Linked DNA regions of Oryzias latipes. The protein of the gene in region 1 interacts with the protein of each later gene in a biochemical or structural test. Links are inferred from orthologs where the notes say so. Each region holds a gene or a part of one and is shown on either strand. Other genes may lie near its edges.

The links.
Region 2: of the proteins of sncaip (region 1) and prkn, one has a biochemical effect on the other in vitro, tested with the Homo sapiens proteins (3 studies listed by BioGRID). The link is inferred for Oryzias latipes from reciprocal best matches to the Homo sapiens genes SNCAIP and PRKN.
Region 3: the proteins of sncaip (region 1) and siah1 form a complex in vitro, tested with the Homo sapiens proteins (2 studies listed by BioGRID, with this or other methods). The link is inferred for Oryzias latipes from reciprocal best matches to the Homo sapiens genes SNCAIP and SIAH1.

Annotation. Positions count from the first base shown.
Region 1 is NC_019867.2:29,622,775-29,631,097, forward strand, and holds the start of sncaip (synphilin-1), read right to left. Parts: upstream 4,556-8,323; 5' UTR 4,460-4,555; intron 806-4,459; exon of another isoform or gene 318-805; 5' UTR 286-317; coding exon 229-285; intron 1-228. UniProt on the Homo sapiens protein: Isoform 2 inhibits the ubiquitin ligase activity of SIAH1 and inhibits proteasomal degradation of target proteins. Isoform 2 inhibits autoubiquitination and proteasomal degradation of SIAH1, and thereby increases cellular levels of SIAH.
Region 2 is NC_019873.2:12,957,713-12,966,073, reverse strand, and holds the start of prkn (E3 ubiquitin-protein ligase parkin), read right to left. Parts: upstream 4,257-8,361; 5' UTR 3,761-4,256; coding exon 3,742-3,760; intron 651-3,741; coding exon 487-650; intron 78-486; coding exon 1-77. Other genes in the region: zinc finger protein 135-like, read right to left, coding at 5,654-6,479, 8,017-8,361. UniProt on the Homo sapiens protein: Functions within a multiprotein E3 ubiquitin ligase complex, catalyzing the covalent attachment of ubiquitin moieties onto substrate proteins. Substrates include SYT11 and VDAC1.
Region 3 is NC_019864.2:25,284,718-25,292,832, forward strand, and holds the start of siah1 (E3 ubiquitin-protein ligase SIAH1), read right to left. Parts: upstream 4,539-8,115; 5' UTR 3,616-4,538; coding exon 3,498-3,615; intron 1,989-3,497; coding exon 1,932-1,988; intron 1-1,931. UniProt on the Homo sapiens protein: E3 ubiquitin-protein ligase that mediates ubiquitination and subsequent proteasomal degradation of target proteins.

The DNA.
Region 1 (8,323 bases):
CACGCCCGTAGAAAAAATGTGCATGAACATTTTCTCTCTACGGGCTCACCGAGTTGTCTACGACTGAAGTTTTGTGCGAGCCCCCTGTGTGCCCCCCCCCACGGGTTTGACAGCATGTATCCACCCATAAGAGCAGCTGGGACTAAGGTTTAAGAAAAGCCCATTGAGGTAGAAAGGTGTGGGGAAGACGCCGGTTGAGTTTGTGTCGTTTCTGCTCGAGATACTGACCACTGAATCATCAGAGAAGTCGATCTCATCCAGGTCCAGGTACTCAGGAGGCTCCATGTTCCCACCACATCGTCAGCCTCACAGCCAACCTGCACACACACACACACACACACACACAACTTTCAGTCAGTCACCTCTGAAAAACACACCCACTCAGCTGCGATCCAATCTGCAGAAACAGCAAGACAGGAAGTGGGCGCAGGAAAAAGCAGGATTCAATGTTTGGGCTGAAGCAAGCTTCTGCACAGAAAACCAGCAGAACATGAGGAAGTGAGTCACTTGTGTTTTTGGGAAAAGGGGAAAACGGCGCCTTTGTCCTGGAGCTAAACCTGAGCTGTGCTGATCAAAGGCAGCTGACAGGATAATCAGGATTAGTCAGCGTGACTCCCTGTCAGAGCCAGAACTGACTTGAACCAAGCAGCAGCCATGGACCTGCACGCTTCCCAGCATGCTTCACTGACCCGACTTCAGAGCATGCATGGTTACAAAAGAACAGAGTTCCCATCTTTTCTAGAGTCAAAAAGCTCAGGTCAGACCCCTGCTGACACACAGCTCAGGTTTCCCAGCTCTTATTTTTTATCTCGACTTCTCATGTATTAAAATCCACCAGCTTTAGGAATTTCTAGCCTCTGACTATGGTGCTGATAGGACAGAGGAAAGTTGTTGCTCACTGATAAACTACCAAAAATCTTATCTTTTTGGGTTCAAATGTTTTTTTGTTCGTTTTCATTTAAAGTTCAGAAAACTTAAACCTTTTTTTTGTCTCCTAAACACATCAAAACCCCTTTTGGGTCCGGCTCAGATGTGACCCAAAACCCTGAAGTCATGTTGGGCAAATAAACTGATCTGAAGCCATTGTTCACTTCTGACGCCATCTTGTTGACATCATCAAGCCCCAACTGTTCCAAAAGAAACAGCAAAATGGGCGGGACAACCACACCTGTCAGTTGCCAGAACCATTGACTATACATTTGAGAACTGGACTGTGTGACCCCTCCCACCTCGCTTTCCAAACAGGAAGTACCTGCTGGCTCCAAGAAGCTAAAATCCTGTAGACTTCTAGAAGTAAACAGCTGTTACTCAGTCATTTTATTGGTCAGAACACCCATTCTTGCTCTGATACCTGTTCTGGATAATCCTCTTTTTTCTGTAGAGCAAGTTATTCGAGTCATAAACTGACCAATCAGATGCCTCAATAATAGTACCGTTAGACTGACAGATTCTCCTTAGCCCACTTTCAAGTAGAAGGGGTGTGGCTTTACAAGAAGCTCACTCCTGATTCGCAAGAGTGGTGGCCATAAAAACCTTGACTCAGACCGGACCAATCGCCGCTCACTGTCGTCGGCTGGCTCCAACGTGGCGGCGTCCGTAACATGGAAAAATTGGGACTTAATTGAATTCCTTTGGTTGGTGACGGGAGTAAAGCATTTTTAGTGGGCGTCGTCACACTCAGTCCAGTTCTCATACAGTCAGCGGTTGGAACACGCCCAGAGAATTTGAAAGTTTCCGATCAATCAAGTAGCCACACACATTTGAGAGCAGCATCAATAAAAAAATAAATAAAACAGAGTTGGTAGAACATAGAAATTCCCCCCCAGTGCAGCGGTTTTATAAGTCTAATCACATTCTGAGCCAGACTGTTGGGAACGGAGAGCCACAAGCCCCCTAGAAGTAACTCAGTGAACTAATCTGACTACAGTTACTTTTTCTTTTAAATCATCCTCAACAAAAAAGGAAACGGTTGCCGCTGGGCTGCAATGAGCCACTGAACTGTAGCATATAGAGAACTGGACAGAGCGAGTGAGACGTCACCCATAGAAAATGCCTCACCTCCGGCTCCAGCCCAAATGAACCCAATTCTGTCGCCATTTTTCTGCGATACGGACACCGCCATGTTGGAGCCAAAGGACAGTGAGTGGTCTGTCTGTCAATCAAACATTCCAGGAGGGGGCCAGCGGGCACCACAAGCCTTTACTGAGGCATCTGATTGGTTAGGTTATAACTTAAACAACATGCGATAAAGAATCATGAATAGATCTGCACATAAATCGCAAATTTATTGTTATGGCGATATCAAGTAGTGCAATCAAATATCGCAAAAGACGGTAAAAATTGCACTAAATGGTTACATTAAATGTGCTAAAACAATCTTATGAAGTAAGCTTGAAGTATTTAATGAATCAAAAAAAATCCATTTATGCATTTGACCAATGGATGGACGGATGAACCCTCTTCACGACGTTGACCAATCGCACGAAACCCTTTGATGTTAGATGTTCCCCTCCTGTGTGGCCTTGGGTCATTTGCTGTATAATTTAAGTTATTTTGACTTTTTAAATTAAAACTGTAGCAGTGAATTGGAAACGATGTTTTTGGTTGCCCTGCCATTTGTTCATGTATCGCAAGTTATATCATCATCGCAATGTTGATCAGTAATATCGAAAATCGCGAGTTTTCCTCAGATCGTGCAGCCCTAATCCAGAACAATAGAGTGACTGAGCAACAGCTGATTATTTCTCTATTGAGGTCTATGGGATTTTAGCAGGTCCTTCCTGTTTGGAATGCGGGGGCGGGGGCACTATGTCCATGTAGTAATGAGATGTTGAATCTCCCGTTCCATCATGTTACATGAATGCAGGCTGATGTGTTCCTCACACGACATCCAAACCCAGGTCTAAGCAGGAGGAACCAGTGTTCCTCTGGACAGCCATGAAGAACAGATCCAGATGAGAGGAACCTGATGGCTGATGGGGCAGAGTTCTGCTCCTGAACGAGGTCCAGATGTGCAGAGGAGCCTACAGCTGCTTTCATCTCTCTCTGGAACAGATCTGTCAAACAGATCCGCCCTCTGGAAGCCTCATCCCAAATAAAACAGTCTGCTTTAAACGCACAGGTCTTCATTGAACCGATCCACGGCTCCCTGACAGCTGGAATCGTCTACAGACGAGAGTCAGCCTGAAAAAACGAATCGTGAAGTTTGTTTTTTGTCAAACTAAGATCCACAACCCCCCTCCCTGGAGAATGCTTCATGCCTCCTTGTGTGGAGCTGTTTTTGGACTGCGTGGGAGTGAGCACCCAACTCAGCCGGGCTAAATAAAAACCCCAGATTGCAGCTCTGCGAACCCTCTGAGCTCTAAGTCGGGGGTGACGGCGTTAGTGTGCACGTATGGGGCGAGCGCTCGTCTGCTGTTTATGTCAACACCTGATCCTTTAAGGCAGAAACAATAAGAAAAGAAACAAGGGGGGGGGGGGACAAAGAAACGTCAAAAGTGAGGCTGCACGCTTCTCTGCTGAGATGGGGCCAAACCCCTCCCAGAGCCAAAAATGAACTCCAACTCCCAGCAGCTTAAGATTCTGTCATGCAAAACACCGCAACGCTGCTCCAGCACACCAACATGAGTAAAAGACCGCTGCAGAGTTTTGACAGACCTTAGAGCACAAAGTTTCATGACGACCAGAGCTCCTCCAGAACTACCAAAGACACAGAGGAAAGAGGAAAAGCTCTGCTGCTTAGCGAGGATCCACCACATACTTCCAAGTATTACATTAGATTAACATGTATGGAGGATTACATTGGATTAGGATGGATGAAATGTGCGCTCACACTGTTTTAGGATGACTTGAATATTGGATTAAACTAGGAGGAGGTGGATGCTTCTTCTAGCCTCCCACAGTTAATAATTGTGCGCTTGTTAGATATTATTAGATTAACATGAAATACATTGAGGGGTTTTCATTATAGCTTATTAATTTAAATTTACTGTACAAACACATTTAATTGGAGCAAACAAACACAGAATGGAAACTGCTTCAGTTAAAAACACGTTAATTATGTTATTAATTAAATAATAAAGCATGAACAAATATGTAATTAAACTCCGGACTGTTTGGTTTCAGCAGAATTCTAGACCTAAACGGTCCGGTCTGGTCCGCCCTCTTGGTCCGGCTCCCTGTATACCAGCTTCTCACCTGGAGATAGAGCTTTTCTGTTATTACACGTGTGAACTCAGAGGGGGGCCGCGCGCCCCGCTCAGCTGCTTTAATCCTCTGATGAGGCGGCGCGTGCAGCGGCGCGAGGCTCGTTAGCTGAGCTGGCTAATCAGTGTGTTAGCAGGTTAGCCTGCCAGGTAGCGGAAAAACTAGGTTACACGTGGCATTCTGGTGAAAGAAACAAACAATTTGGGTCGGAACCGGGAGGCAGACATTCCCGGTTCTTTAAACAGAACAGTACCTTGTTGAGGTTCGAGGGCCGGAGCGGCTTGCAGAGCTGATCCAGCTGTTTTTCTCACAAAGACTCACAAAGAGCGTGATGTCACAGCCTCCGAGAGGATGAGTAGAAGAGGTATCACTCTGCGTGGATTTCTGAGAAACATACCCCAAGAGGAAAACGATGATTTTTCCAAATTAAGTTTTATAAAATAGGAAAAATATACGTGATACTAAAGCAACGTTGTTTATAGGTGCTGTATTTCTTGTTTGATTTTTTTTTTTGTTTGAGCAAAAATAAAGAACGTTTTATGTTAATTGAGAAAGAGTGCTATGCGGAACTCAGTCAGACCTCTTTTTTAGTTTGTCTTTACTCATTCAGAGTCGAAAGTGTTTCAAGTGGGCTGCAGATACATTAATCTAGGCTCTCAGGAAGTGATCAACAGATTAACGATATAGCCTGTAAATTACGACCTTTGGTGAGATCTTCCTGAAGGCTGCGTCCTGTTTCTATAGACGATCTGTGCAGTTATTTGATCCCGTTATTCTTGAAAACCGGAGCTAATGGCTCCAACTGTGATCTAGACAGATTTCCCCTGGTGCAAAAAACACAGCAATAAAAAAATAACACAATTTTGTACTCTATAAAGTTGATGTAAATCCACCTTAGTGTACATTTAACCATTTGAGATTTCTTTAGGTAAAACAAGAAAATATTTGTTCTTTTTGTTTGCTTCAGGAAAAATAAACAATGATCAAACATTTTGTAATACTAGAAATTCTCATATTTTTAAAAACCCACATCCACAGCATTTGAATAAAGCCATTAAAGCTGAAAGAGGCCACATAAAACAACTCTGACATGGCAGAGAAGATAGTTCTCCTGCAGGAGAACCATGTTCTCTGCCTTTGGCTTACAGCAGCTGGGATTGGCTCCAGCAACCCCATGATCCCGTTTAGGATCAAGCAGGATGGATGAATGGATGGATGAAAAAACACAAACATATTAATGCTTTTTAGAGCTCCAAATGCCACAATAACCATTAAAACGGATTAAAAATAGAGAATCCTTTGAGTACCACATGAGCTCTGAAAGCAATGATTAAATTCCTGAAGAAAACGTTTAAAAAAGCAGGAATATAGAGAAAAAAAACCAACATAAAAAAGAGTAAAGTTTAAATCTAAATTACTTTATAAAAGGGAAAAAAAAGAAGAAATAATTTCAGGGTAAAATGGATGTAAACCTTGAGTACTGAAGCCTCAGCATTGAATACTCTCATGTATGTGTGTGACAGCTGTTACAATTTTCTTAGGTCATCTGCTTTAGACTTGAATCAAACCACACAGAAAGAATGCAGGTCAGGGTCCAATCCGTCCAGTCAGTCCAGTCCAAACATGTTTCAATTTGACCAGAAGATGGCAGCAGTGCTCCTCATTAGTTACAAATGACCTCAATATTTGTTGTAAATGAGAGTTTTTATCAGCTTATGAATCCAAACATAATCTCTCTATTATAAAATTAACATCACATAATTGAACAAATGAGTAAATGGTGGATCGAATTATTGCCTTTAGCAGTTTGTCCTCCTGAAAGTCTGACAGAAACGTCTTCAAGAAGAAAATCCGCGTTCACTCAGTGAAGGAGGTTGATTGACAGCTGTCTGAGTTTCATCCTCTAGCCTGAGCGGCGTCTCCTGGGTGATGTCCATCCAATCCTGACAGGACTGCCCCCCTATCAGGAGGTTATTGCTCTAAAGTGTCGGAATCAAGGTTGGTATAATAAACTAATCTAAACTAAAAAGAAAAAACAGGTCTGATCAAACATTTTGTTTGAATAATAAAAAAAAAGAAATAGTAACGTAAGTTGGGAAAATAAAAAAATATTTAAACAATAAAAATTAAAATTAAAACAAGTAAATCCACACTGGAAAATCCAGAAATTAAACTGAATTAAAAACAAAAATTGAGTTAATAAAACTAATAGAAAAATAAAAAACTATATTAACTCTTCCAACACTACTTACAATTAAATGATATTTTCCAAATAATTTTATAGACCAGAAACAACATAAATAATTGGCTCATGCTGGTCTTTTTGCAGCTGGTTGTGGATCCTCTGCCTTTAGCTTCATTCAGCTCCTTTTTCCTCCATCAACCTGTTCTCCTCAGGAGGCCTGTCAGCACATTAATGTCAAGTCAGATCAATCAAATTAAAATCCAATCCACATAAAACTCTGCAGGAGCAGACACCTGCAAAACACCCTCCATCTGCTCACCTGAAACACAGGTGAAAGATCTGGAGGGCCATATCACATTACTGCCTACATGTAGACATATGCGCTGCGTTCCGGCTCTGCTTCAGTGAGTGAACGGGTGGGCGGGGCATGTGAGGAGGGGCTGCCAGGTGTGTGTCAGGGAGGGGCATGTTCATCATATTTTCTGAGTTGATCTTTTCTTAAATGTTATTTTTTCTAAATAATTAAGACTTGATACATGCTATTGGTAAATTCATTGTTCAGACAAGCATTAACACATGAAAACTGGACCAAAACACCTTTGACAAAAAGGGCACTTTGGGCATCTGGGCAAAAAGGGCAGGTGCTTGAGCACCCCCCCACCCTCTCTCTCTCTCTCAATTTACCGGTCAATCTTCGTTCCAATAATCACCTCTGGTCATGATTTGTGAATCATGACTTAAAGAACGAGGTCCTGAATACAAGTTCTATTGGAGATTAGGTGAGAATGTGGATGATTCCTGGACCCCTGCCTGGGGAAGTGTTCCAGGCATGTCCTTCTAGGTGAGGGTCCCAGGAAGGACCCAGAACACTGGAGAGACTACATCTCTCAGCTGGCCTGGGAACGCCTCAAGATCCCCCCAGAGAAGCTGGAAAAGGTGGCCGGAGAGAGTCTGGGCAACTTGACAGACTGTTGCCCCCGCAACTGGATCATGGATGAGCGTAAGAAGATGGATGGATGGATGGATGGATGGATGGATGGATGGATGGATGGATAGATGGATGGTGGATGGATGGATGGATGGATGGATGGATGGATGGATGGATGGATGGATGGATGGATGGATGGATGGATGGATGGATGGATGGATGGATGGATGGATGGATGCCCAGATTTTCCTCAGCCCCCTTCACTCTGCAGGGGAGAGATATCTTGATCTGTGACTTTATGTTCGCTATGATTCTTGTTTATTACACAGTTACCAGTATGAAGCCCACTGAGATGACTATTGTTGTAAATATTGGGCTATACAAATAAAACTGAATTGAATTTAAATGAATCCCAGCTGCATGGGGTCTAGGGAAGACATGGAATCTTGATGTAAAGCGCAGGAGTCAGGTGGAACCAACAAAGAACTCACTGGAACCGGTGGAAGGAAACTCCAGGTGTGACATTGTTCTTGACCCTGTTCCCTCATCCACTGATCGATGCACAGGACCAGGTAAATCAGCTCCTCCAGAACCTCCAGAACCTCCCTCACACCCAGCTCGTCTATGTCTACACTGGAGAGACCCAGAAGGAAGACGTCCACCAGCACCTTGTCCAGATCACAGACCAGTGTCTTTACTCTGCCAATTCTCAAAAATACTTGAAGAAATATTACTCACAGGCAGGAAAATTTTGTTGATAAAACAAGATCTAATCTCCGACGACCAATATGGTTTCAGAAAAAATAGATCAACATCCACGGTGATTACGCAATTGCCGCTCCTGAGTTTCAGCATCACAGCCACTTCCAGGTTGTTCCAGGTAGCTTGCCTTTCTCTTTCTGTTGTGGTCAGGAATATAGAATGCAGGGGACATCCTGGACAGGTCGCCAGTCTGTAGCAGTTATTCAAATCCAATTTGCACAATTTCAAAGTCAATAGAAAAG
Region 2 (8,361 bases), on another chromosome or scaffold:
AGCAGCAGTTGAGAGGAGGACGATCTTGAAGGGGGAGGGACCACGTGAACGGTGCTCTGCTCTGGGAGGTCACAGCTCTAGGAGGAGAGAGAGGAGAATATGGTGTTTAGTTCTCAATATCACCTCAAAAAGTCTTCAAAGTACAACCTAACAAAGCTTCAGCTCAATCTGAATCTCCACAGGCTTTTATTTTGAAGGAGCTACAACCATGAGAGTAGCCTCAGATTTCATGACAGCCTCTGGTTTTTGAGGATATCTCCCTGTTTTCAAAAGGATCCACACGAAGACTTTTCAGAAGATTTCTTCAAATGTGGCGTCAAGACTTTATCATTTTTTGATTCATTCAGATGGTGTCTATCGGTGAACCTGCCTCCTAACGTTGAGATGTCCTGACCTGTGGGGCCAAACTGAGCTGAGTCGCAGGTTTCCTGCTTGGACACAAGAAGTTCCTGCGTCCTTCATTTTCCCAGCAGGCAGCAGCCTCACCTGCAGGGAGGAGGTGCTCTGCAGCTCCCTCCCAGCAAAAAGCACCCTGAGCTGCTCCGGGGGGACGCCCTGCTGACTCCCCACCACCTTCTTCAGCTCGGCAACACTCGCCCCCTCCTGGAGCTCCACGGCCACACCGGGGCCAAGGTTGTAGCGCACGAACACTGCGGACACAGCATGGAAGACTGCTATGAAATCTCATGCAGACACCATTCATGGAGATCACAGATCTTACTTATTGATTCATTTTTCAGCGTATCACACAGAAGTTGTATTGTAAATTGGTTTTCTGTTTGAGGGCATGACCTGTGTCACCTCTGCAAACAGAAACACAAAGCGGAGGGTTTAGATTTATAAACACAAGGGAAAATTTCAAACCATCAAACAAACCTGTTTGAGCAAAAGAATTTAAAAAACAGTTGTTCCACATTCCTGTGAATGACGAAGTTGTTTGTTATGGATATTGGTCGTAGTTTCCCCAAAAAAAAAAAAGTTATGGAAGTGTAGGAATTTCTGCCCACCTCTGAGTTCATTCCGTTTGAAAGACGACAAAACGTCAGGGGAACCAAAAACTTGAACAAAACGGCACTGTATAAAACAACCAATCAATAAATCAGTGAATTTTATCCAATCACATTGCACCTAGTTGGTGCAGCCACCTTCTACTAAATTTCCCTGAGGCTTTAAGAACCAACTGAGCACGCTCAAGTGCAACAGCCAATCAGATCTGGAGTTTGTAGTGCCAGGGCCAATTATAATGTGAGTGAGACATCTAACTGCCATGTGGCTGAGTCAAACCTCCTCACAGCGTTGAAGAATAAAATTCCTCAAAGACTGAGATGGTTCTACCTCCTGAGGAGAAACGGGAAGTTGATTTCACAAAACAGGAGTCTGATCAATATAAAATAATGTCATCTACTGTCATAAAACTGGGATTCCCTAAACTGTTTGGGTCAAAGAACAACAACTTCTGTTTTCTGAGTTAGTGAAAGAAAATTGGAAGTCATCCAAGACTTGAAATCTTTGAAACTACACTGAACAAAAATATAAACGCAACAGTTTTGTTTTTGCTCCCGTTTGTCTTAAGCTGATTTCAAAGATCTGAACATTTCCTACAAACACAAAAATAACAATTTCTTTCAAATATTGTCCATAAAATCCGTCTAAATCTGTGATAGTGAGCACTTCTCCTGAGATAATCCCTCCCACCTCATAGGTGTGCCATATCAAGATGCTTTTTCCTCAGCATGATCTTTGCACAAGTGTGCCTTAGACTGGCCTCAATAAAAGGCCAGTCTGAAATGTGCCGTTTTGCTTTATTGGGGGTCTGGGGACTCAGAAAGCCGGTCAGTATCTGGTGTGACCAACATTTACCTCATGCAGTGCATCTCCTTCACACAGAGCTGATAAGGTTTGCGATTAAGGGAATGTTGGCCCACTCCTCTTCAATGGCTGTGTAAAGTTGCTGGATGTTTGCAGGAACTGGAACACGCGGTCGTATCCGCTGATCCAGAGCATCCCAAACATACTCAATGTGTGACATGTCCGGTGACGATGCTGGCCACGCAAGAACTGGGATGTTTTTCCAGCTTCCAAGAATTGTGTTCAGATCCTTGCAACACAGGGCCGTGCAATATCATGCTGCAACATGGGGTGATGTTGTTGGATGTATGGGATACAACGGCCCACCGGGTCTCTGTGCATTCAAAATGCTGTCAATCAAATGCACCTCTGTTCTGTCTGACATGTCCAGTAAAGAGAATGAGTCAGGATTTATTCGTGAAGAGAGCACTTCTCCATGTGTCATGTGAGCATTTGCCCTCTCAAGTCGGTTATGACAACAAACTGGAGTCGGGCTTTAGCATCGATGAGGACAACAAGCATGCAGATGAGCTTACCTGAGATGGTTTCTGTGGAGATTTTTTGGGGTTTTGCGAACCAATTGTTTCAGCAGCTGTCTGAGTGGCTGGTCTCAGATTCTCTTGAAAGTATACATGCCACCTGACAATCTGATGAACTCTGTGCAGAGAAGATGGGTTGCACTGCATGCCGCAAATGTTGGTCAAACCAGATACTGACCGGCTTTCTGAGTCCCCAGACCCCCAACAAAGCAAAACGGCACATTTCAGACTGGCCTCTTTTTGAGGCCAGTCTTTTGTGCAATAATCATGCTGTCTAAACAGCATCTTGATATGGCACACCAGTGAGGTGAGATGGATCATCTCAGCAAAGCAGAAGTGCTAAATATCACAAATGTAGGCAGTTTTGTCAGCAATAATTGAAAGAAATTGTTATATTGTGTATGTAGAAAATGTTTCAGAAATTCAAGTTCATCTCATGACAAAAATGACCAATGGAAATGTTTTCTGTGCTTCATACTAGTGTTGGAAGCATTTTGACAATGCCATATTCTATTAGCTGCAACAAAACGTTCTAATCAAGTATGTCAAACAAACAGCACTGAGGCCTAAAAGAACATGCACAGACACAAGTACAGGCAGCCATGAGGTCATGGTTACCTTCAGCAGAGCTATGATATGGGAAATTCTGACTAAAACTCATCACAAATTATTCTGTTCAAACGCTCACAGAGTTGATCTGCAGCAGTTTTCTCTGGGAGTTTAGAAATGAATATTAGATTAGAGACAGACTTGTTAAACAAAAACTTGTGGATTAAGAAAGACGGCTTAAATAAAGGTTTAATGGCAAAATGGAAATCCAGAGCTGTGTTTTTACTGTCAGGATCATGTTATTTTAATGAGACAGTCAGAGCAGTATTATAAGACAACACGAATTTGTAAAAGTCTGTAAACAAACTGTATTCCTTTATTATTTTTACTGCTATTTTTGTGCATTACTTGTGGTGTTTGTGGTATTGTGCCAACTTGGAAATGTACATAAATTACAGAAGTGTCACGCTGAAGCGGATTTATTTGGGAAGAAGTAGACGGTCACATAAGGTTAAGCCAACAAACAAAACATGTCCGCTTGTTTTGTTAACAAAATTCTGGGAAATCAACCATGATAAATAACTAAGCAGCTTCAACACATTCATGTTGTGTATCTGTATGTTTACAGTTTAACGCCGGTGCAAGGTCCCGGCGTCAACCCAACCGACCCCATCTTAAACCCGCGCTTAATGTTGGCCCGGGACCGATCTAACTGACGGGAACGCGGACAGACCAGATAAGATCAGCGCGATTGGTCAGTCGAAGATATCCCGGTTTGGAACTGGGGACCCGGTTCGGAACTCACCGATCATCAGCCTTCTCATTCGCTAAGCATTCTGGGAGCTGTAGTACATTTTCTCCTATGTTTCCGGCGTCGGTCCGCTGTACAGTGTGACGTAAACAACACCGGAAGTGTATGTACTTAACAAAAAACACGATTAAAATTCAAACTCTGACGATGAATAAACTCAACAGCCATTCAGTGGTTGTTTTTGAAACATCTAGAAAATAGCAGCTGGTACTAAATATCCACTACAGTCGATCTTTGATCGGAAAGGTTGGATGACTTATCCATGTGTCCTCAGTGACAGCAGATCCTGGCGCGCGCTCCTCAGCCGGAACCTTCTACAGGATACAGATAAAGTCAGCTTGCACTCGATTATTTTGAAATATTGGCTTATTTAAAGGGTGTATGTATGCAGATTGTCTCCCATGTGCTCTATAGCTGTGGTTTGACTTTGGATTAACCTTTATGTTCTGCCTAAATTTAAAGCTGACTGGATCTACAATTGATGGTATCCCCAAAAATTCCCTGTGGCTCCGTGCTTCCATGTGTGCTCCTCCTGCTGGAGGCAGGAAGTAAAAACAGCCTGGATAGAAGTTTATTCCAAAGACGAGACAAACATGTCAACAGCTTTATTCTATTGGCAAACACGATACAATGAAAACCACCATCACCCCCCCACTGCAACAAACCAACACAACACTGGTCTAAACTGTAGACAGGAGAGGTGTCAGAAACAAAACTGGAACATGGTGGGAGGGACTGAGTGTTTTTGTCTCTTGGTGAAAGGGGGGGGTCATAGGCATTGAGACCAAAATAAATATGTCACCATTAAATTAACTCCAAGCCAACTCTTTTTCAATAACTGTTCCTGGGCGGGCACAGGAAAAGCTTTTATTTTGGTGAGAGCTGCTCCAAATGAACGTGGAGTCCAGAGGCTTGAACTGACCAAACATCTGTCCCAGTTCATCAGCATGCTCCATACACCGTGGCGGGAGCTGGAGAACACGAAGAACACCTTTATATGTGAGGAGGAGCCAATGCTGTCATGACAACTTTGTTTCTGGAACATCAGAACATTCCACCTTACCAACAGACGTCTTAGGACCCGACAAGATAGTTTTCTCTGAGGAGCGCCGGGACACATCCCTCGGACTCCAGCGTGGATTTCTGCTAGAAGCTTTTATTTTGAAGAATAGAACACCCATTTCTGCCTGCTGATGATTAAACTGTTGTTATAGTAACCAAGATTGACTGGCCAGCCAGATAACAAAGAACACCGTCAGCCAATCAAAACACAGCATCAGCAGCCTGGCTGGCCTAATCAGCCCAATCCACTGGAGCGAGGTAGGGAAAACTGCCAACAGGGACAGAAAGTTCTTCTGACCATCAATCAACTAAATGGATCAAAAGTTGGATAACTGCTCACGGGTCCGGTGTCGATGCAGTTTTGGACCTGCTCGTCGTTTAAAGGACCAGTTTTGTGGATGAAAACCACAGATGATCGATCCAATCGTGTTTCACAGCGGCAAACTGGTTTGATGATCCAGCTTCATTTCCCATGATGCCTTTGGGAAACGGCAGGTGCCGCCATACAGGTGAAAGGGAGGTAAAAGGGGAGGGCAATTGTGTATGTTTGAATCTAATTACATTACTCCATACGCAAAGCTAAGTGTCAGTTCTGACCATACAGGTGTGACCGTATGCGGCATCCCCACCTGATGACCATTTTAGGATATCCTGCTGCTATTTACACCAAAGAGGAAGAAACCATTTTCAGTTCCTGAGACCTGGACAACCAGAACGGGTCCAGAACATTTCTGAGTTTCAACTTTTTTCGAGAATTGGTTCCACAACACCCCGGAACCAGTCAATACTTATGCCTTATCCTCAAACCGGTCCAATCCAGTTCAGAGCAGGGGGGGTGGGGGAGTCACTCTGAGTCCGACTCGAGGGGCGCGGTTTCGTCCAGGATAGGTCTCTTCTGACGCTTTGCGGTGACCTGGCCGTCCTCGAGGTGGGCTTTCTTGTGACGTGAGAAACTGGACGAGTGCATGAAGGTCTTGTTGCAGGCTGAGCAAGTGTAGGTCTTGGTCTTTGAGGGGGGGAGTCCAGGCGTGGGGTGAAGCTGCTTCCCTCGGGCGCCAGCGCTCGTCCTGTGGGTCTGCTGGTGTCGTGCCAGACTGGAAGCGTGGCTAAACTGCTTCCCGCATTGGGTGCAGACATGGTGGCCCATTCCTTCTACGCCGCACATCTCGTCGTCTTCAGAGGACTGGCCCCGCCTGCCAGCCCGGCCCCCCCGGCGACGTCGGTTCTTCTTGCAGAGGGTGTAAAAGTTGGGCTTATCCCGTGAGCAGAGCTTTAGGCGGATCTTGAGGTCAGATGAGCTCTCACCCAGGTTCTCCTTGCCGGGCGTGTAACTGTCCAGCAGCTCTTTCACGTGGGTCACCTGGTGCTTGGACAGCTGTGTGGACGTCCTGAAGGTCATGTCGCACTGTGGACAGGCGTAGAACTTGTCTGTGCCATGGCTTTGGATGATGGCGGTCGCGACGTGCTGCTTCTTGGCCTTCTTGTTCTTGCCGCAGAGGCGCAGGGTGGCCACACCAGTGCTGAAGGGGGCGTCCTTGGGTATGCCTTTCCCCTTCTTGTGGATGAGGCGGTGGCGGGACAAGCTGGAGCTGTGGTTGAACTCCTTGCCGCAGATGTTGCAGGGGTGGATGCGCCGCTTCCCGTGTAGCCGCAAGTGACTCCCCAGCATCCTGCAGGAAAACAAACACAGATTACACCTGCAGCACTCAAGACTTCTTAAGCCCACAGCAAGCCATTGATACTCAGATTTTGGATTATATATAAAAAAAAGGGTTATCTTTTGTAATGACTAACAATACAAACAGCTTAAACACAAAGCATGGACGCCTGTAAATGTTCAGAAATTGGTATGGCAAAAAAAAAAAAAAAAAGATTTATAACCCACAGACATATAGTAGTATTTTATGTGTTGTTTTTGTGCAAATAGTTTTAAGGTTTTGCTCAGATGTATGCACTCCTGCTGAAGGGATGAAAGTGTTGGCAGCACACCTCTGCATCACATTAGTATTTGTCAGAGAAGAAAAAAAGAACATCACTGCAGTGGATTCTGATCAGTGTGTTGGTCTAATGGAGCAGTACATGCTGTGCTTTTAAGTTGAAAAGAATGCTGGTGGTACACTTTTATTTTGGGGGATAAAAAAGGAAGCTTTTTCTCTCTTCTTGGTGGGTTCTCAATTAACCGCTCACTTTTAGTCAGTGCTGCATTGTGCTGCATTCAGGTACCAAACAGGTGTGGGAAATTCCATATAGATTTAAAAACATTTAAAGGGCCTATATCATGCTGTTGTTAAGCCTTTCAGAGTAAAGTATGTCCATATTTGATAATATATTACCTTAGACAAATAACATTTTTATATGAACTACGAGTTATTTTGAGTTATTTTCAGTTGATTTTCCTACCAGGAAGTAGGACGACTCCATCTCTGAGGCACCGGCTTTCACTCCGTGCGGGTGCCGCTCATTTCATGACGTCAACCTAGAGTCGCCCATGAAAACAAACAACATCCGAACTTTTGCAAAGATGGATGTCCATATTGTGGAGCCTGGCAAGATGGTTTTGCAGATCACCACATGCTCCGTTTAGAAAGTGTGTGTGTGTGTGTTAGCTGGGGGCGGTGCTGGCAGCGAGGGGCTGTTCCCCACTTATCTACATGAGGATCCAATCGTTTTCGTGGGGTGGGAGGGGCTGTTTTTGGACGAATACTCAGATGTGTGAACGGATCAAAATACAACTTTGGGGTTTTTCTTCGTGAGGTATGAACATTATATACAATTAAAAGCTCAAAAAAGTTGATTTTGCATGATATAGACCCTTTTTTTACTCCCATTATTTTGAGTCATGGTGGTCTAAGTCACTCAAAAATCTATTGCGAGCCATTTATGGGCCGCCATTTGAAAAGCTCCACCCCACAAGAAAGACTGACCTGACCACCAGCTGATCACATGTAGGGAACCTTTAATAATCAGTCTACTCACAGTAACACAAGTGCCAAGCTTCCCAAAGGTAGAACCGGATAGTTTTTACTGAACCAATCTCTGCAAGCAGAACAGCTTTTGAGATCAGGAAACCTCCACAGACGCTGGAGGCGGAGCGTTTGGCACCACTGAATGACAGGCTGGGGTTCTGATGGGCGGCGTTTCTTATCTTGGAAAAACATATCAGATCCTCAGGTTAAACCCTCCCACAGAGGAGACCTGTGTACGTACCGGCTGCCTTTAAAGCTCATCCCACAGTGGGGGCAGGTGTAGCGGGCCTCTTGGTGGGCGGGCTCTAAAGCTCGCTTGGCGGCAGGGGGTGTCCCACCCTTGCCAGTGTGCGTCTGCTGGTGGCGGTACAGGCTGGAGGCGTGGCTGTAGCTCTTCCCACAGAAGCTACAGCGGAACTGCCGCTCCACTGGCTCGTAGTCCGCCTGGTCCGAGTCTGCCCCGCCATCCAGGTGGCTGCTCCCCGCCTCCAGCAGAACCTCGTGTTCTACCTGCGCACTCTCATCATCCTCGTCAGAGTCTGTCTTTATCTCTACGCTCTGCTCCGTCACCTCACAGGGGTACACC
Region 3 (8,115 bases), on another chromosome or scaffold:
AATTAGATGCTTATTCATCAAAATGAAGAATTAAAAGTTCAAAATGCTAGTTCCACCCTAGAGCACTATTGCAGGGTGATTTTCACCCGTGCAAAACTATTTCCATGAACTTCAATAAGTCACGTGTCAAGCAGTCTGCGCCTCACCAGGGAAGGCTCACATGTCCCATAAGACCAAGTTTTTAGGATCATTGTTTAGACATTTTTTGTTCTCAAATTCCCAATTTTTTCTGTCATTTTTGAGCATATTTTTAGGAAAAATCCTATGTTTGTTTGTTTTTTTTCATTTTGTTACACATTCCACAGATAAAAATAAAGGAAAACCACTTGAATTTAACACATGTTGTCATGTTTTGATCTATTTTTTATGATTGGTACTTTTTGCTGGGATGATTATATTGGGGAAAAAATGACCCGGCAACAAGGACGGTGGGACTTGTTGTAGCAAAAGTGTTCCAGGGTTAACAAATGATTTATTTTAGAGACAGATGACTAAAATGAAAAACAGTGAAGGAGAGATAATAAAACGGAAGAACTCCATTCATTCCAGCTTTAAAATGGTTCTAAGCTTAAACATTTTGTTAAGGCATAAAAATCAAAAGCTACAGCAGAAATTCCCGTTTTTTTTAAGTCTGGAATTAATTGAATCCTCGAGTATAAGAGGAGAGATTTCAGAAACATGTTACCGCCGTTTACGTCAGTGTTTCAGTCAAATGTTTTCACTATTTGACAAAAAATGTTGTGTTCAAAGTTTAGCAGTGATGTTGTGTCTGTTGCCTTGGGAACAGCACAGTTCTGTGCAGATGTTCCCTCAGATGAAAGAACAGAAAGCAGAGATGAGGATGCTACTGTTAGGGAAAAAAAGATGCAGACAGAATGATGAAGGGATGCTCGCCGACGTCCATCAATAAAAATCTCAATCAGATTTGTTGATCACTTGATTAGATTTATGTACCACAAATGCTTGTTTTTTTTGTTTCAACATTCTCGTCAACCGTAGGAATGTTTCTTTTTCTTTTTCTACACTGAACATAAATTCCAGCTCTGTATTTGTTAATAAAGTTCGAGGCTCTTTAAACACTCAAGATCTGTGTTGAAAAGGAGAAAGACATTTATTTACCCAGAAGAACTCAGACCACAGAACACATGTCTGATGTTTTCTGATGTCATCATGGTTTATAGGGATGAAAAATCCTTGAACATGAAGTTAGCTAATCAGTTATTATTAGCATGCTAGCAGGAGCAGTGGGACTGATTTGGCTTAGGATGCAAATCTCTGACGTGCGTGTTGGGGGGGGGGGGGGGGGGGGTGTTTACAGACGGCACACAGAAGGGAAACCTGAGACGGTGCCTCCAACATGTGAGTGACAAACACTCTGCAGAAGTTTACTCCAAACAGAAGTTCTTATTTTAGCCGGACAGAAAGCGTTTGTGTGAGGAGAACGTTCCAGTGCAGCGATGAGGTCACACGCTGAAACTCTCTTCTGCTTGACAGCAGAGAAGAGTGAAAAGACGTTGGAGGGAGAGGTTTCAGTTATCAAACATCAGATTTCTGGGAGGCACTCAGTGGTTCGGCTTAGGTGGGTTGACGCAGGGCCCCGTTTCTGGAAGGACCTCGGTCGTGGGTCCTGCTGTCGGGGCGTTTTGGCAGCGAGGAGCTGAACAGTGTTGGATAAACATAGCATCACTTGTTCAGTTGGCACGCCCGGTGCCAGCTGACGAGGAGCTGCCAGATAAAGACGGCGTGGGCCGGGCCCTGCAGCGGGACGGCTGATCAGCCCGACAGAAAGGTCTGAGCCCACACACACAAAACTACAGCAGACATGGGAAAACCAACAAAGCTGCCATCGATCCTGTAAATGTAAAGCAAATCCCCAACAGATCCACTCAGACACAGACAGACAGACAGATTGACAGACAAGACAGACTGACCTTCGTCCATAAGATTTCCAAATAAGGCTTCTGTCTGCTCCTGAAATGTTTGGACCTCTGAAAGAGAAAACAAAGGAAGTGCACATGAGAACCCGACAGGCTGGTTCTGAACGTTCTGCTTTGTTCTCCAGTCAGACACAGAAGTGGGCTCGGATTGTTGTGATGTTCCGGCAGACGTGAGGGCCGGATGGCGCCGAGGCGGTGTTTGATGGGCAGGACACAGAGCGTGCTCACTTTAGATTTCTGCTGTGTGGACGCTTTGCTGCAGAGCCACTCATTCATATTTCAGTAAGTCTGGTCCATTTCTGGACTAAAGGTTGACGAGTGAAACCCGTTTGTCTTCAGCTGAACAAAATCTACACAAAGCAAATTATTCCTGGACACGATTGCATCACATTTGATTTGAGGTTTCTGTTAAAACGACGTACAATGTCTCCTTCTGTGTGGAAACAGAACTCGCAAACACAGGAAGCTGCTTTTTGAAACTAAAAATTCATCTCCACATAAACCGTCTCGTCTACAAACATAGGCAGAAAACAGGGCTACGGTGTGGGAACAGGTAGACGGATAAGACCATCGATGGTTCGGGGCGTGAAGGTGAACACCAACGATGAAGGAAACCATAAACCATAAACATCTTCCTGTCTTTGTTCTGCCAATGGTTTGGTTGCAAACAGACCAAAAAGTCTGTTTCACCAACAGCTTCTGCCTCCATGAACCTCATGGAGGCTCAACAATCTTTAAACGCATCGCAAAAGAAAACCATTTCCCTTTTAGAAGCTGAAGAAATATAATCTAGAAATAGTTTCATTAATTAAGAGATTGGATATTTTTCTCAAAAGATTGGAAATTATTATTATTTTTAATTGATGTTATTTAAGAAACCAAGCAGAAACCTAAATACAATGTTGAGTAAATACAAATTGTACATTTTTTTGTATATATTGAATCCTTCAACTATGTGATGAATCTTTTGACAGAAAACAAGAACATCTTTTGTGCATCACAGAGCGAGAGGCGGAGCCTCAGAGATGGAGTCGTCCTACTTCCTGATTGGAAAAGAACTCAGGAAAATAACTAATATTTAATTTTAAAAGAAATGTTCTTTTGTGTCCCAAAATATATCATCATATACATGGATATATATATTTTTTACTATAAAAGGCTTAAGAAGAGCCTGGTATAGGCCCTTAAAGGACCAAAACATAAACACACAAAATGAATATTTAAAAAGCAAATTAGTTTTAATAAATGTTCAAAAGTGCTATTTGTGAAGAAAACATTCCCGTCGTTCCCTTTTCTCTTCTATGATAAGAAATTAAATATCCTGAATGACAAAACTAAACAGAGGAACATCAGGACAGGTGAAGGGGGATTCAACACAAACGTTAATCCACGTTAAAACAGTGCAACATAATGTACGCAGGGAAACGGTTAAAAGCATCTTCTGTGCTCGCCCACGTCACGCACAGCATCGGTGTGCCAACACGGCCCCCTGCACACAAAGTGCCAATTCAAGCCACCTTGGGCAGAAACATGGAGCTGGTGAGGATCGACGCGCTTCACCTTTAGTGTTGTGCACATTCCTGGTTGCTACGCATGAGAGCAGCCTGAACAGGGAGTTCCAGGGTGGAGCTTGTGGAGCTACACTTGTCTGCTTGGATTTCACTTGGACCACAGACATAGAGGTAAAGCATGTATGCAGCCCCTCTGTGCCACGCTGCTCAGGCCTTTTCCATGGAAACCACACACTGCTGCTGGAGCTCTACGCATTCCTCCAAATACTGGATCATATTTCCCCTCCTGCCACCCCCGCCCCCGCCCCCACCCCTCTCCCCTTGGAAAGTACAAGCTTCTGAGCGGCTGGAGTTCTGCAGCAGATCCAGAACGAGGGTTGTGTCCAAACAAACACCAGCAGATCCTTAACAGCGGGAAAACGTCAGAGTCCAGGGTGTTTGAGCGACTCCACTGCAGAAGCAACAGAAGGAGCCCGGACAGCAGCCAGGCAGGCTAAAGGGTTAATCAACTCGCCAGTCTGCACAGGAAACGGGAGGCAGTTTAGGAGAGTCATTAGAGCTTCACCAACACTGGGTAATTATCCAGTTTCTCCACTCAGGAACTATTTGACATTCCACGGGGCGGTTGGTTAGCAGGTATAGAAAGAGGAGTCAAAAAAAAGTGCAAGTTTGCAAAAGAAAAATCCTCAAAACAAGAGAGCCCCAGCTCAGAAACCTAACCTTGGCTCCCCGAGAGGAAATGAAAGAAGAAGAAAAAAATCCAGTGTGAAGTCTCCCCCTTCACTTTCTTCTCGGTTTGGATTTCAGTGATGTTCTTTGTCCTGGGGAGCGTGGTCGGTGTCAGCGCCACTGGCTGTGTTTGTCTGAAACACAGAGCTAAAGTCCGCATCCAGCGCGAGTCTTTATCTTTGTCTCTGCAGGCTCAGCCCTCACATGTCTCAGCTCAGCTCCAGCTGCATCTCCCTGCTGCTCCTGCAGCCTCGTGTCCTCTGAAAGCCTGCAGTTTGCCTTCTTTCTCCAGGCTGGACATTCTTCCTCCCTCTGCCCCCTCCCTCCGCCTCACTGTGGTTGTGCAAGTCTCAGATTTCAGCTGGTATAGCTGTAAGCTGCAGCACCAGCTGACCCCTCTGACTTCATACCTCCTTTCTCCTTTAGTGCAGCCCGTTTCTCCTCTGTCCACGTTTTAAATGTGAGCCAGAGAACACAGGGCTGCGTTCTCTGGCTCACATTTGCTCTTCAGCATAACTTACTTACACACTCTACAGCAGCGTCTCACCTTCTCAAAGTGCTCTTCCTGTTTTTGAGAAGCACTCTAGGTATGTGAAAAGCTCGCTCAGCGTTTACCGTTCGGAGCATCGATGCTGAAGATGCAGCACATCCCAGAGTCAACATCTGCTCACGAGAGGACAAAGAGGAGAAGCTTTTCTTTGTGCTTCATTTCCACATGGACCAAATCTGTGGAATTCCTTGCCCACCGTATGCTAAGCCGGAAGGATTTTTTCGCCCCCTCAGACTCAGTTATTTTCACAAATCTGATAAGAGATCAAACACGTCTGCAGCTGCATCAAAGACGGAGCGTGTCTGCTTTCAAAATCTCTGTCTGGATGTTCAGGCAGCAGTTTTTGGGAGGTCTGCAGTCAAACCTGCCAGTGGCTAGCAGACAGTGTTGTGAGAAAACAATTCTCCTGCTACATCTTAACATCTTGGCTTCAGTGCACATTAAAGTTTCCTTTATGCCAACGCAGAAACCCTGAATTCTGATTTTAAGTAATACTTTTAACAAGACTGCATTAGCTTAATCTAAAAAAGCTTTTTGAACGTGCCAACTCTTTTTACAAATTCAGCTCTTAAGCTAATATACAAAAAAAAAGAAGCACAAAAGGGACTAAATGTCATCGACACAGCAAGTTTTCATAAAGTTCCAGCAGGACCGGAGAACTCTGTAGAACATCAGCTGTTCCCTCGACCAGACCACTCATAGGAACAACCTGACTCCTTAGGTTGGGGGTCTCTTCTGGGCAAAGGGTCACTTGGTACCCAGACACAGAAAGAAAAAACAAATTTCCATTTTAGTCATTAGTGATTTTGAAAGCCATTTCATTTGGGAAAAACTACCAGATTCTCTCCGTGACACTTTATGCATGTAAAGTCGCTCGGTCACATGTCTTCCTACATGTGTGACCTTCCTAAAGAAGCCACTCAGGCGGTAAAACCAAAATAACCCCAAGATGACAAAAGAAACTCAAACCGAATTATTTGGACAATTTCTGCACAGTATAAGAATCAGAGAGATGACTTCAAAAATCAACAAGAAAGCTGCATTTAACAGATAATATCAGGAGTCTTAATTAAAATATGGATTTATTGGGACAGGTTGCTCTCACGCAGTGAGCCCTGTCTTATGTTACAAAGACACTGCTGATAAAATTGGACACAGCAGATTCCCGTTTATTATTATATTTAGAAAATATTTGTTATGGTGGTGGTCATATGCAACGTTTATTTATTCATCTCACCTTCAAGTCCGGTCTGTGGTGTAAAACTGATCAGGGAGCGCTGCATGGAGGTATTAAACTGAATCTTTTGATACTTGATGGTTCCTAAAAAGTATCTCAACGTCTCAACGTAGATGACCCAACAATGCGTTGAAAGATGTGATGCTTCACTGGAGGTGTCAAAAGTTTTTAATATGCACACTACGGCATGAGTGAAGGGAAAAAAAAGCGCGTGCCAGTGGCGTTCATTCATCCGTGATCTGCTGAAGACAAATAATCAACCAGCTGTTTATAAGAGTGAAAATGTCCTGACTCATTCATGTGTGACCTTTTGATTAAAAATAGTGTTTAAAGTTGCTCCAGAAACCTGTCATTTCAGTAGCAGCTAATATTTTTTTCAAAAAAAGATGCTTTTTGTTTGTAAATGTCACTGATTCTATTCCTTAGTCCAGCAGACTTTAGTCAAAACCAGTCAAACGCTGTCATCTACCTGCTGATTTCTAATAGTCTGCGTTTGGATTCTTATAAATTCAAAATCTGAAAAAAACAAACAACTTTTCTCCAGGGTTTGTGCATGTTTAAACCCCTTAAATGTTTGTATTTGTAAACTGTTTAAATAAAGTCTATCAAAAGGAGGCAATGAAAACACAAACAAACAAAAAAAGATGGAAAAATCACAGACTTTTCTAACTTTCAGGAGAGATGTGTCATTGTTAGGCACATTCATTTGCTGATGCTTTGCTTCGTTTCCCATGTGTCAAAGCTCGCCTGAACTCTGCTGCAGATGTAGGAAGTGAACCCTGGTCTCTGCTCATATGAGGGTAAACTAAAGTATGAATGTGAATTACATAAGCACCGTGTAAGGAGTAGCAAAAAACTGAAGAAGTGGGCCTCTCAATAAATCTAGAAAATGTCTTACATGGTAGAGGGCTGCATTGGGATTGGGTCCCGCCGGGTCCCGCGGGACCCAATGCAAATCTCGCGGGATTGGGCGGTTTGAATTGTACTGCGGGCGGGAGCGGGCGGCGAAAAAAACAACTCTGCGGGATCAGTTTTGCCATGAATATCTCATGAATATATAATAGTGGACTACGTTAGGCTGTGCGGCTGTTGGAGTCTTATGTACTGAAGCTCCGTGAAGGCACCAGGTAGAGACGCCCAATGGCCACTTTCATCTAACCTGTTGTTGGGGGTGTGCAGCGCCCCGCCCCGCCTCTTAGAAATTGTGTTCTTTAAAGCCTGATACCGCGGTCGCGTATGGGCGGAGCTAACAGCTAAAGTTCTGGTCTGATCGCTGCATGGAGCGATGTGTGCATCAATGATGGTAGACACGAAGAATGTGGAGAGATCAGGTTTATTATTTTAAAGAGTTCTGCTTGATAATCATGTTTCCATGTTTGAGTTCATAGAATCATCCCAGAGAAAGTCTCTGCTTCAACTCCTGCAGGGAACGCTGCGTCTGAATCTGACGCCGTGTTTCCATCTCTCTGACAGAGTTTGAAGCCAAAGCCCCTCCCCCGCCTCTTTACCTGCTTTTCCTCTCTACCTGTTCACCTGTTCACATCCTCTGCAGCTTAGAGTTATTTTCCCCGCGCTCCCAGTGTGGCGCAAAACAGCAAAAACGGGAAAAGGCTGAAGCTAAAAAAAAAAAAAAGTATTTTTCCGTCAGGAAAAAATTAATTCATAGATTTTCAGCTCTGTTGAACCATTACAATGTTTTTCTTCCTGCAAATGACTTTGACCTGCATCTATCCCAGCTGGTTCAGCGCGCTTCAGGCCGTCTGTCTGCGCGTGGACACACGCACACTTTTTTTTACCGAACAGGATTTGTGAAAATATATTTAATGATTATGTTTCACATTACACTAAAGAGGAATGCATGAAAAGATGAGACTGGAGGAGGGACATGAATCTCTTTAATAATATCAATAAAAATACGTGTTTTTTTCTGCGGGACGGGAGATGATACAAAATCAATGCATCTATTACTGTGCGGGACTAAATTCTATGAGTTTTGCGGGTGCGGGCGGGAGTGGACATACATATTGCGGGTGCGGGCGGGAGTGTAACGCATACGTTGCGGGAGCGGGCGGGATTGGTCAGAAATTTGGCGGGTGCGGGCGGGAGCGGGATGAAGAAAATAGTCCCGCGCAGGGCTCTATTACATGGTAC